2 linked regions of the Kluyveromyces lactis genome follow. The protein of the gene in region 2 interacts with the protein of the main gene of each other region in a pairwise test. Links are inferred from orthologs where the notes say so. Each region holds a gene or a part of one and is shown on either strand. Other genes may lie near its edges.

Region 1 (4,283 bases), on a different chromosome or scaffold from region 2:
TTGGAACATTCTACAATTCTTCCGTTCAATGGCTCCTCCATGGCCTTGAGCTCATTCCATTGTTTGTCGTCGATTTCTATTTCTGCAAATTTTCTATAGGTTCTCTCCAAAAGCTCCAAATCACTCTTAGTAAAGGGTTGTTCGAAGTCCTGTATTCTATTGTTCACGTCATTACCACCTTGCCAAACGTACAAATGGAAAAGTGGCTTAACATCGTAATTGTAGTAAAACCTGTTTTTATCGCTTTTAGGTAAAGATTTGTCTTCTACTACAGGAGGTTCAATGATCAGTTTGAAATCCACAGTATTTTCTACTTCTGGTTTCCATTTCAAAAGGTAGCTATCTTTACCACCAATATGATATGCCGCTTGTACTGGAGTGAAAATTAGACCATCAGATACGTGTGGAAGTGAATCCAAGGTCTTTGCAACTTTTGCCAAATCATAACTGAAATTCATATGTTTCATTGAAATTTTGAATGGGAAAGTGGAACATCTATCTGGAAAATACGATCTTAAATCGTAATAAGGTTTGAAAAACTCTTTGCCAAGATGAGCCAAACGGGAACTTGTAGGCGATTGAACTAACGAACGACCATTTACCGCAAGGCAGTCGAACATCAAGTACCTCAGTTCCTTCAACTTGGTCACTGGATTAGTTTGCATGACAAGTTCACCATCAATTAACGTACCGTCCTGCAAAGTCTCTAGGAGTTCTTTTTTATTGGCACGGGGCAAACATGGAAATCTAAATCCATTGACCATATAGTAGTTGTTTTCACGGTCAATCATAAAACACCCTTGCTCTTTTGTAACTGGATTCACCATTATCAACATTAACGCACGCAATCCATCTGTCTTTTCACATACGTAATAGTCTTGCGCAAGTAACTTCTCCTCAATATCAGCCAGATGGAAAGAAACAGGTTGAGAGCCCGGAAAGGTATTAGCGGGTTTCGCTGAATTGAGTAGCTTACACATCAACATTCGAATATCATTAGTAATTTGTCCGGGTTGTCTTAGACCAGGAATCTCTGGTGCAACTCTGTTATTGTCCATGGCAATTAAGTTATAAACTTAGGCAAAAAAAAGGACAGTCAAAACACACGTATGCAATATCAATTGCCTTGGTTCATTAAGTTCAGGCTGCCTTAATCTATTGCTGTTTACCTTATTACGTATTTTCATCTGGTTCAGTAATTGTAAAATGCTTTCCAATTATTTTCAATATCGAAAGATGTATATAAAAACGCTATATGCAGGATATGAATATGGATTCAATATGAGGAGGAGCAACAACATACCAAGAGAGAAATAGTGCAAAAGGGAATACAGGATACATCCGGAGTTGCTAGCAAAAGTGTTGCATTTGAAGAATTGATATTCACTTGTGATATTTAACAGCAATTTGCATCAGCTTACTTCCGGCTAGTGATGACTGTCGTCTCAGGACAAAATTCGCCAGATGAGATAATAATTTCAAATGGCAATGAGTACACAAGTCGTAGGCGAACTGCGACCAAGAATGTGAGTTATAATGAGAAGGAAGCCGACATTGCGTTGGCGAAGAAGATTAAACAATTAGAGAAGGCGAACTCTTCGAAACAGAAGTCTGAAAAGGGTGAAACTATAAAGAAGAATGGCATTCAGAAGAAGGCGAACAATGGAAAGAAGTCACAGAAGAGTAGTTTCAAGTATCAGTCGTTCTTGCAAGACAAGAACACGCCGTGGAATTTCATTCCTTCTCTACCTAACTCATTCAAGAAATACGCAAGGTTCAGTACCATGTTGGATATCGATGAGATGACCGTTGACGTTTCTAAGCAATTGCTACTATCTGACGGATCGGCTGTCTTGAAAAAAGATGAGCACATATTTATGGTATCAGAACCACCTGGAGAACCCTACTATATTGGTAGGATAGTTGAGTTTGTGCCGAAAAAGGAGTTTCGTTCACTCATATCGCGTTCATTACACTTGGCAACTAGTTTCCCTGCGATTTATTTTCAGTTAAAAATGAATTGGTACTATAGACCCAGAGATATCCAGGAAAGAACAAATAGTACAAGCTCCAGAATGCTATACGCTTCACTTCATAATGATGTTTGCCCAATTTACTCATTCCGTGGTAAATGTAATGTCAAATTTCAAAAAGAATTTACCTCAATTGATCAGCTAACAGAATACGTCTCAAGACCCAATTGTTTCTACTTCAACCAACTTTTCGATAGATATACACTAAAGTATTACCAAATGGAAAAAACAGATCAGATGGCTGTGCGAGTTGCTTCTGATCTACCGTATTTCAAGATTTTAACTAGTAAATTCCCATTCATTTTCTATGAGGATAAATTCCCACTGGATAACCTACTTACCAAATATGTCTGTGGCAAAAGAACCGAAGACCAAAGCTGGGATTTGCGTTGCGGCGAATGTCGCGATTGGTGCCACCAATCGTCTTCTATCAAGTGTGATGACTGTAAGATATCGATTCATCTGTGGTGCATGGACCCGCCCTTAGAAAAGAAGCCGGCAAAAGGTGTGGTTTGGATTTGTTCAAATTGTGTCGGAAAGCAGAACAACCAAGAGCACATCACGAGGGACAAAGAATGGGAAGGAATAGAAAGTTCGGTTGAAAGGCTAACAGAAAGTTTGGCTTCTATCAGAGATTTCAATACAAACAGAGAAAATTGGTGGTTCCAGTATCTGGGAGAAGACATGTGCAATCATTTAGGTGATCCATTATTTGACGACTATATCGCACCATTCCCATGGAAAAAAAGTAGAGTAAGTTTACAAAAGGGCCAATGGAGTAATTGTAATCAACAATGGGTGGAAGATCCGTACAGCAATAAACCTGGAGAACGAGGGACTTCTGCTTCTGTGGAAGGCCTTTGGATTGTTAATAATGAAAAAATGGCAGAGAGCGAATTAGACGAATATGTTAAAAGGTGTAAGAGTACAATTCCTGGCAATCTCGAAGTTCAACCAGAAGCTTGTAACTTCATCGACATAATCCTCAAGCTATTAATGCAAAATGATTATAACTCCGAAATTTCTTTCCTTAAAGCAACCGAGATTATAACTAGAGAATCGTTGAAGGAGCCAACATTATCACAAGAAGAAATTAAGAAATTCGAAGAGGGGGTTAGTTTATATGGAAGCGAATTACACCCTGTTTGTAAGCATGTTGGAACGCAATCAATGTCAATGATTGTTCGCTATTATTATTACTGGAAAAAGACTCCGAATGGGAGAAGAATCTGGGGAAATTTTAAGGGCAGAGCGAAGAACAGAAAGAAGCAAAGTATTGATGATTCAACTAACAAGAAGTCTAGTTCCGATAAAGGTGATAAAAATTCTAAAAGGATACCGAAAAAGAAAGCACAATCGACACAACTTTTGAAACACATTGATGACTCTTCTTTTGACTCTGAACAAATATCAGATGTAAAAAAATGCTTCCAATGCATGTTTTGTTCTTTAGATTATTCACCATTATGGTATAGGGTTACTGGTGGGTCAGAGGATGATCACATTCATAGAAGACTTACGACCGGAGTAAATGAAAAAGTTTCAGGTAGTGATAGCGAGAAAGCCAAACAGGTTGAAAAAGATAATGAGAAACTGAATGCCCTTTGTATAAGATGTGCAAGGATGTGGAGGCGTTACGGTATTAGATGGTCATCTCCTATCGATGTTTTAAGACAACTTTATGGTAGTAGTTCTTCATCGGTCCAGGGTGCGATAAAGGACTTACTGGAGGATAATGACGAACAGGCAATTTGTTGTTCCACTAATCAGGCCTTTTCAAAAAATCTGGACTGGGAACTAGTGATAGATACGGAATCAATCACTAAACAGCGCTACGCAGCGACAGATAATCCCGAAAAGCTATTAAAAATGAAGAGAAACACTTTATCTTCTCAAGCACAAATGAATAAATCTGTTAAAAAGTTAATAGATTTGAATTCAATCAAACCAGTGAACCTTGAAGAAAGTCTCATGGGCTACATTTCTCGCATAGAGGCTCAGATCAAGAGGAAAGAAGAGATTAAATTCAAGAGACAAAAGGAAAGAGCGTTACAAGAACAGCTAATATCCGAGGCACATATGAAGAAATCTTCAAAATCTGCCATTACAACCAAACAAGCACAGGTGCTTGTAACTGAAAACAAACCACAGATAACTGAAATACAAGTGAAACAACAAATAGTTCCATATGCCAGTCCGTCAGTCATAAGAAAACTGATGCCAAATGGTGAGTTCTCGATAAACATAGAA
Region 2 (4,503 bases):
TCGGCAAACTGAATTCAGTTCATCAATAGTGACATCAAAATGTGGAACCTCTAATCTCCTCATAGCAAATGAGTCTTCTAGATGAAATTTCTCTGATTTAAACACCTCTGCTCTTTCTAGTATATCTTGGCATTCATTCATGATTCTTTGAGATTCTTTGATAACCTCCTTCAATGGCAGGTATTCTTCGTTGTTCCCATCTTCACAAGTCAATAGTAATCTGTTCAACTCATTAAAGGTAATTTTAGAGTCATTATTGGTTTCAGCTTTCAGTGATTCTATCCTTCTTAACAATGACGGTTCACGATCCGTGGCAGTTTGTGTTTGTAGGTTCTCGTTGCTAAATCTTGAAATCAGTCCTTTTAAATAAGATTCTGAATAATACTCATGCAGCTCAACTTTTGAGTCCCCTAGATCGATAAGTTTCTTTTCCAGCTCGAGGAATTGTTTGACTGAAATGGTCACACAATCGAAATCATTAGCAATAACAATCTTTGACCCACCACAGGGAGAAAGATCTATGTCAGATATTGGATCGAATTTATTAGAGACACGGGGTATATGATGTGGCACTAAAGATCTAAAATGCAATTCATCCTTAATTAGATTCATCAACAATGGCGTAACTCTTTTTAAGAGATCTCTATCATTCGAGCTTTCAACGATATTAACAAAAAACTGGAAGGGAAGAATAGAGGGTAGAAGTTTATTCTCAGCTCTCCATAATTCAGCGTCGGGAATATTGTTCACCCATTCTTCAGGGGCAAACAAAGATTTTTCTGATATTTGAAATCCTGAACTAATTGAAGTTGAATAGACTTGTGGATATTTCATAATAAATGTCTTCGGATCTTGAATAACTTTGAAATATCTGATATGAGAAGCTGAGAGTTCAGAAGTTGAGATTTGAAAGTCATTGGGTGTATAAGAATTATGCTTATCTTGGACTAAATTTTTCAGAAACATATGATTAATGCTTCTTTTGCGAGAAGTTTTATGTTGATCCAAAAAGTTAGTTTCTTGAAAGCTCTGAAAGAAATCTGACTCAGTGAAGTCCGCTTCAAACTGATCAGAAGATTTCACTTCTTTTTTATTACGTATATCATCAAAAAGGGCCTCAAGAGAATTTCGATACTGAGGAGGGACAAAATACCATACTTTCGATGATCCCAAATAGGAAAAATCAAGTAAGGGTAAGAATTCGTCTTCTAGAGCCCAACCAGAAGTAGAGAGCATCATGCCTACATCAATTTTACCACCTGCCAGGTTTCCAAAATCGAGATCTTGGTATTGAAGGAGGGATTTTTCAGAAAGGTTTATTGTATTTAAATTCCAGGCATCTATAAGACGTTTCGTTTCGTCGGAACTCGCCATCTTCGATGTTGAGAAAGTGCTTCCATGCACTATCGTAGGCAAATCTATCCCTGTATCAACATCGAATGACAAGGACTCCTCTTTCAAAATTGTATAATACAGCCTTTCAAAATCAAGTAGTGATATTTCTTTTCCAACATGAGAAAGGTGTGGAAATAATTCCTCTACTGTTGAATTGACAATTTCACGATGTCGTTCAGCTTTCTCGTGATATTGTCTCAAATTGTAGATAGGCGAGTTCTTCCACTCGTACATAGATTTGTCATATATCTCTAGTTGATTGTTCCATAGACTAAAATTGTAACCAGGTAGTGTAGACTCATTGGCATCTGTCAATCCAACTTTCTGCTCAGTGACAGATCCAAATCTAGTCGTAAACCCTTTTGCATCTAGTATATCTCTCATTCTAAAATACTCCTTACCGGAACCACCGAACTCATTGTTTATTCTATTTTCAATATGTGCTATCTTTACAGGTGGACCTGTCTGTTGGTTAGGATTGAGGGCATCACGATGATCTTCTTCTAGAGTTCTTTTCATAGTATTGTAAAAGCTGTTTTGTTGTATGGACATATCACTGCTTATCACCTGGTGGCTTGCTGCTTGCTTATGTTGTCTTTCATAAGCATCAAATTCAGAAAACACTTTAAGGTAGGCAGATCTTAAAGACGTTGATAAAGAGCTCATAATCCTTCCTGAGTATCCAAGTTCTCTTCCTATTTGGGCCCATAACTTTTTTTGGCAAACAGTGTCGAAGCCCCCTCTCAGTTGAACACAGGATCGTAGCCTGTGTAAATCTAACGTCCTCTTGTCTATACTTGGAATTTTGCCTAGTGTTGGATTTCCCTTTATATCTTTTTTTCCCTTATGAAAGCAGTATAAATCATGGTGGAGCTTGAGTCTTTTCTGTAGTTCTACATCATATGAGTTTGTATGCTGCTTTCTAGGCTTGAACCAAAAGTTCTCTGTGTCCAAATTAAAGGCATTGAAGGGTGAGTTATCACAATGATTAAAGTCAATCTTGACAGCACCGAATTGTTTGCCAAGTGGTTCCATTATTCTATAAAGTTCAAATGGCGTGGGAAAATCATCCGTGTTTCCCTTGACCGTGATAGTAGGGATCGATCCCTCTTGAACTGTATAATGAATTCCTGATATGGTACCCTCACTCACAACCCTGGCATTATTGATAACCTTTCCACAATGAATTTGGAGTGGATCGAAAGGTGCATTAGATCTCGTCCTGTGTTGCGTATACAAATATGGGTTGTGAGAGTTGTTATTTTGTGTGAAAGAAGTAGAGGCTGATTGACCGTCTATAACTTTCCTCGGAAGAGTCGTCTTGGAATGGTTGTTTTCAAACTGGTCGGGCACTGGGATTTTCGGTATCAGCGCTTCTGCGACTGAATTGGTAGTAAACTTATTTTTAGAAGTGGTAGAATGACTGGAGGTTTCTCCCTTATCTATTACGTGTTTTCTTTCGTCATTGGCGTACGATATGGTCGTTTGAGCTGGATTCAATAATAACGAAACAGAATTACTTGGCAGTGAGGAAATCTGTTTATGCTCCATGACTAAGAGGAAGTAAATCGTTTCAATTTGTTGCAAAATCCTAGTCTTTGTACAAAATCGATTTGGATTCCCATTGGTTGAGAAGGTCAAGCGAAACACTATCTTACTATGGCCAATAACTGAAAGTTCTTGATGTTATGTTTCACCTCATCCTCAAATTTCGCTTCGTATTGTAGCGCCAATTCATGTTGTCGAAATTAACATTGATATCACGTGGTATAAAAGACTTTTCGATATATGAGATAATGAGATGACGCTTGTATAATGACTAATTTAGGAAGAAATGATGTCGTTCACAACCTCCACATAGGCTTAAAACCTTACGGGAGTTGCACATTTCTGGCAGGCTAAGTTTCGATGGTCTTTTTAGCATATAGAAGGATTATAGTAGTTATAAATTAAATATGTAGCATGCTCTGCTTATCCTTCTGAATATTGTGCAAACAATTGTACACTTAGCAAAAGTACAATTTACCGTTTCCAAATTTTAAGGTTTTAACTTGTGTGACGGGTCATTTCTCCTGCAACTCCGAACTGTACTAGTCACGGTCTTTAAACAAAATTCAAACCGGATATAGGAGCTTGTGAGATTATCATAGGCCCTTTATATGCAAGCTTCAAATCGTTTGCATGCCATTTCTTGTTTTCTATAAGCAAGGAACGTCAGTTTCTTAAGTATCGACACCGAAAACGTCAAAAAGACACAATGTGCTAGGTAAGAATAGAAGTATATAAGTGAGCATGATGCATTTTCCTCGCGCGGAAAAGAATCATTATACAAATTTCAGCTGTGTGGAGTTGTTGTCGTGGTTTGATCAATCCTTAGTAAGCATATGGTCCTGTAAGATATGACAGAATTTCATGGAGTGACAGAGTCCGAAAACAATGAGGAAACTAGAATATACAATTTCGCAGACACTATGAGAAGATTATTAGCACTGCCTGACTATACCGCAAGGTATTTCCATTTTTCAACTAGTGATACCCATAATAACAGTACAGAACCACAGGATCGCAATGAACAACAATCACATGTGCGTTGGAAAATCCAGAAATTACAATGATATTGTCAAAACTGCTTCAGTTTGGCAATTAATGTTCAGCAGCTGAGGAAGTGAGCCCTAGTATAGACAATATTTCATTACTTTAATATAAAATCAGTCAAGTCATGATGTATATTTAAAATAATAGATATAAAATAAAAACGAACTACAAGGAACTTTGAGACCTTATCCCTTGAAAGGAATCGCTGGAGATAAAAAAAAAAAAAAGCAGCGAGAACTGCATGGTTACATTGTTCAACAATCCAACCATGCTGTTAAGAAAAAAACTCGTCGTTAAGGCAATAACATTTTAGATTCAAAATGAGAGCAGACTGCATCATAAAACAGCATTTTAAACTGAAATGTGTTGGTGAATATAAACTTTTCAAATCATTTCGTCATTTCTAATTTACCAGTTATCATTAGAGAACTGGTTGTTTCTTTGACCACCGGTTGCCCCAGAACCGGGATTAGTTCTGGAAGTGTAGTCTTCAGTTCTTGCACCAGAAGGTGT

What was found.
Region 1: the proteins of ECM5 (region 2) and SNT2 interact in binary tests that used the Saccharomyces cerevisiae proteins (3 or more experiments, as listed by UniProt). The link is inferred for Kluyveromyces lactis from reciprocal best matches to the Saccharomyces cerevisiae genes ECM5 and SNT2.

The regions. Positions count from the first base shown.
Region 1 is NC_006038.1:193,116-197,398, reverse strand, and holds the start of SNT2 (DNA-binding E3 ubiquitin-protein ligase SNT2), read left to right. Parts: upstream 1-1,433; coding exon 1,434-4,283. Other genes in the region: CEG1 (mRNA guanylyltransferase), read right to left, coding at 1-1,058. UniProt on the Saccharomyces cerevisiae protein: Transcriptional regulator that, together with ECM5, recruits histone deacetylase RPD3 to a small number of promoters of stress-response genes in response to oxidative stress.
Region 2 is NC_006039.1:1,415,588-1,420,090, forward strand, and holds the start of ECM5 (Ecm5p), read right to left. Parts: upstream 2,947-4,503; coding exon 1-2,946. Other genes in the region: KLLA0_C16225g (uncharacterized protein), read right to left, coding at 4,399-4,503. UniProt on the Saccharomyces cerevisiae protein: May be involved in cell wall organization and biogenesis.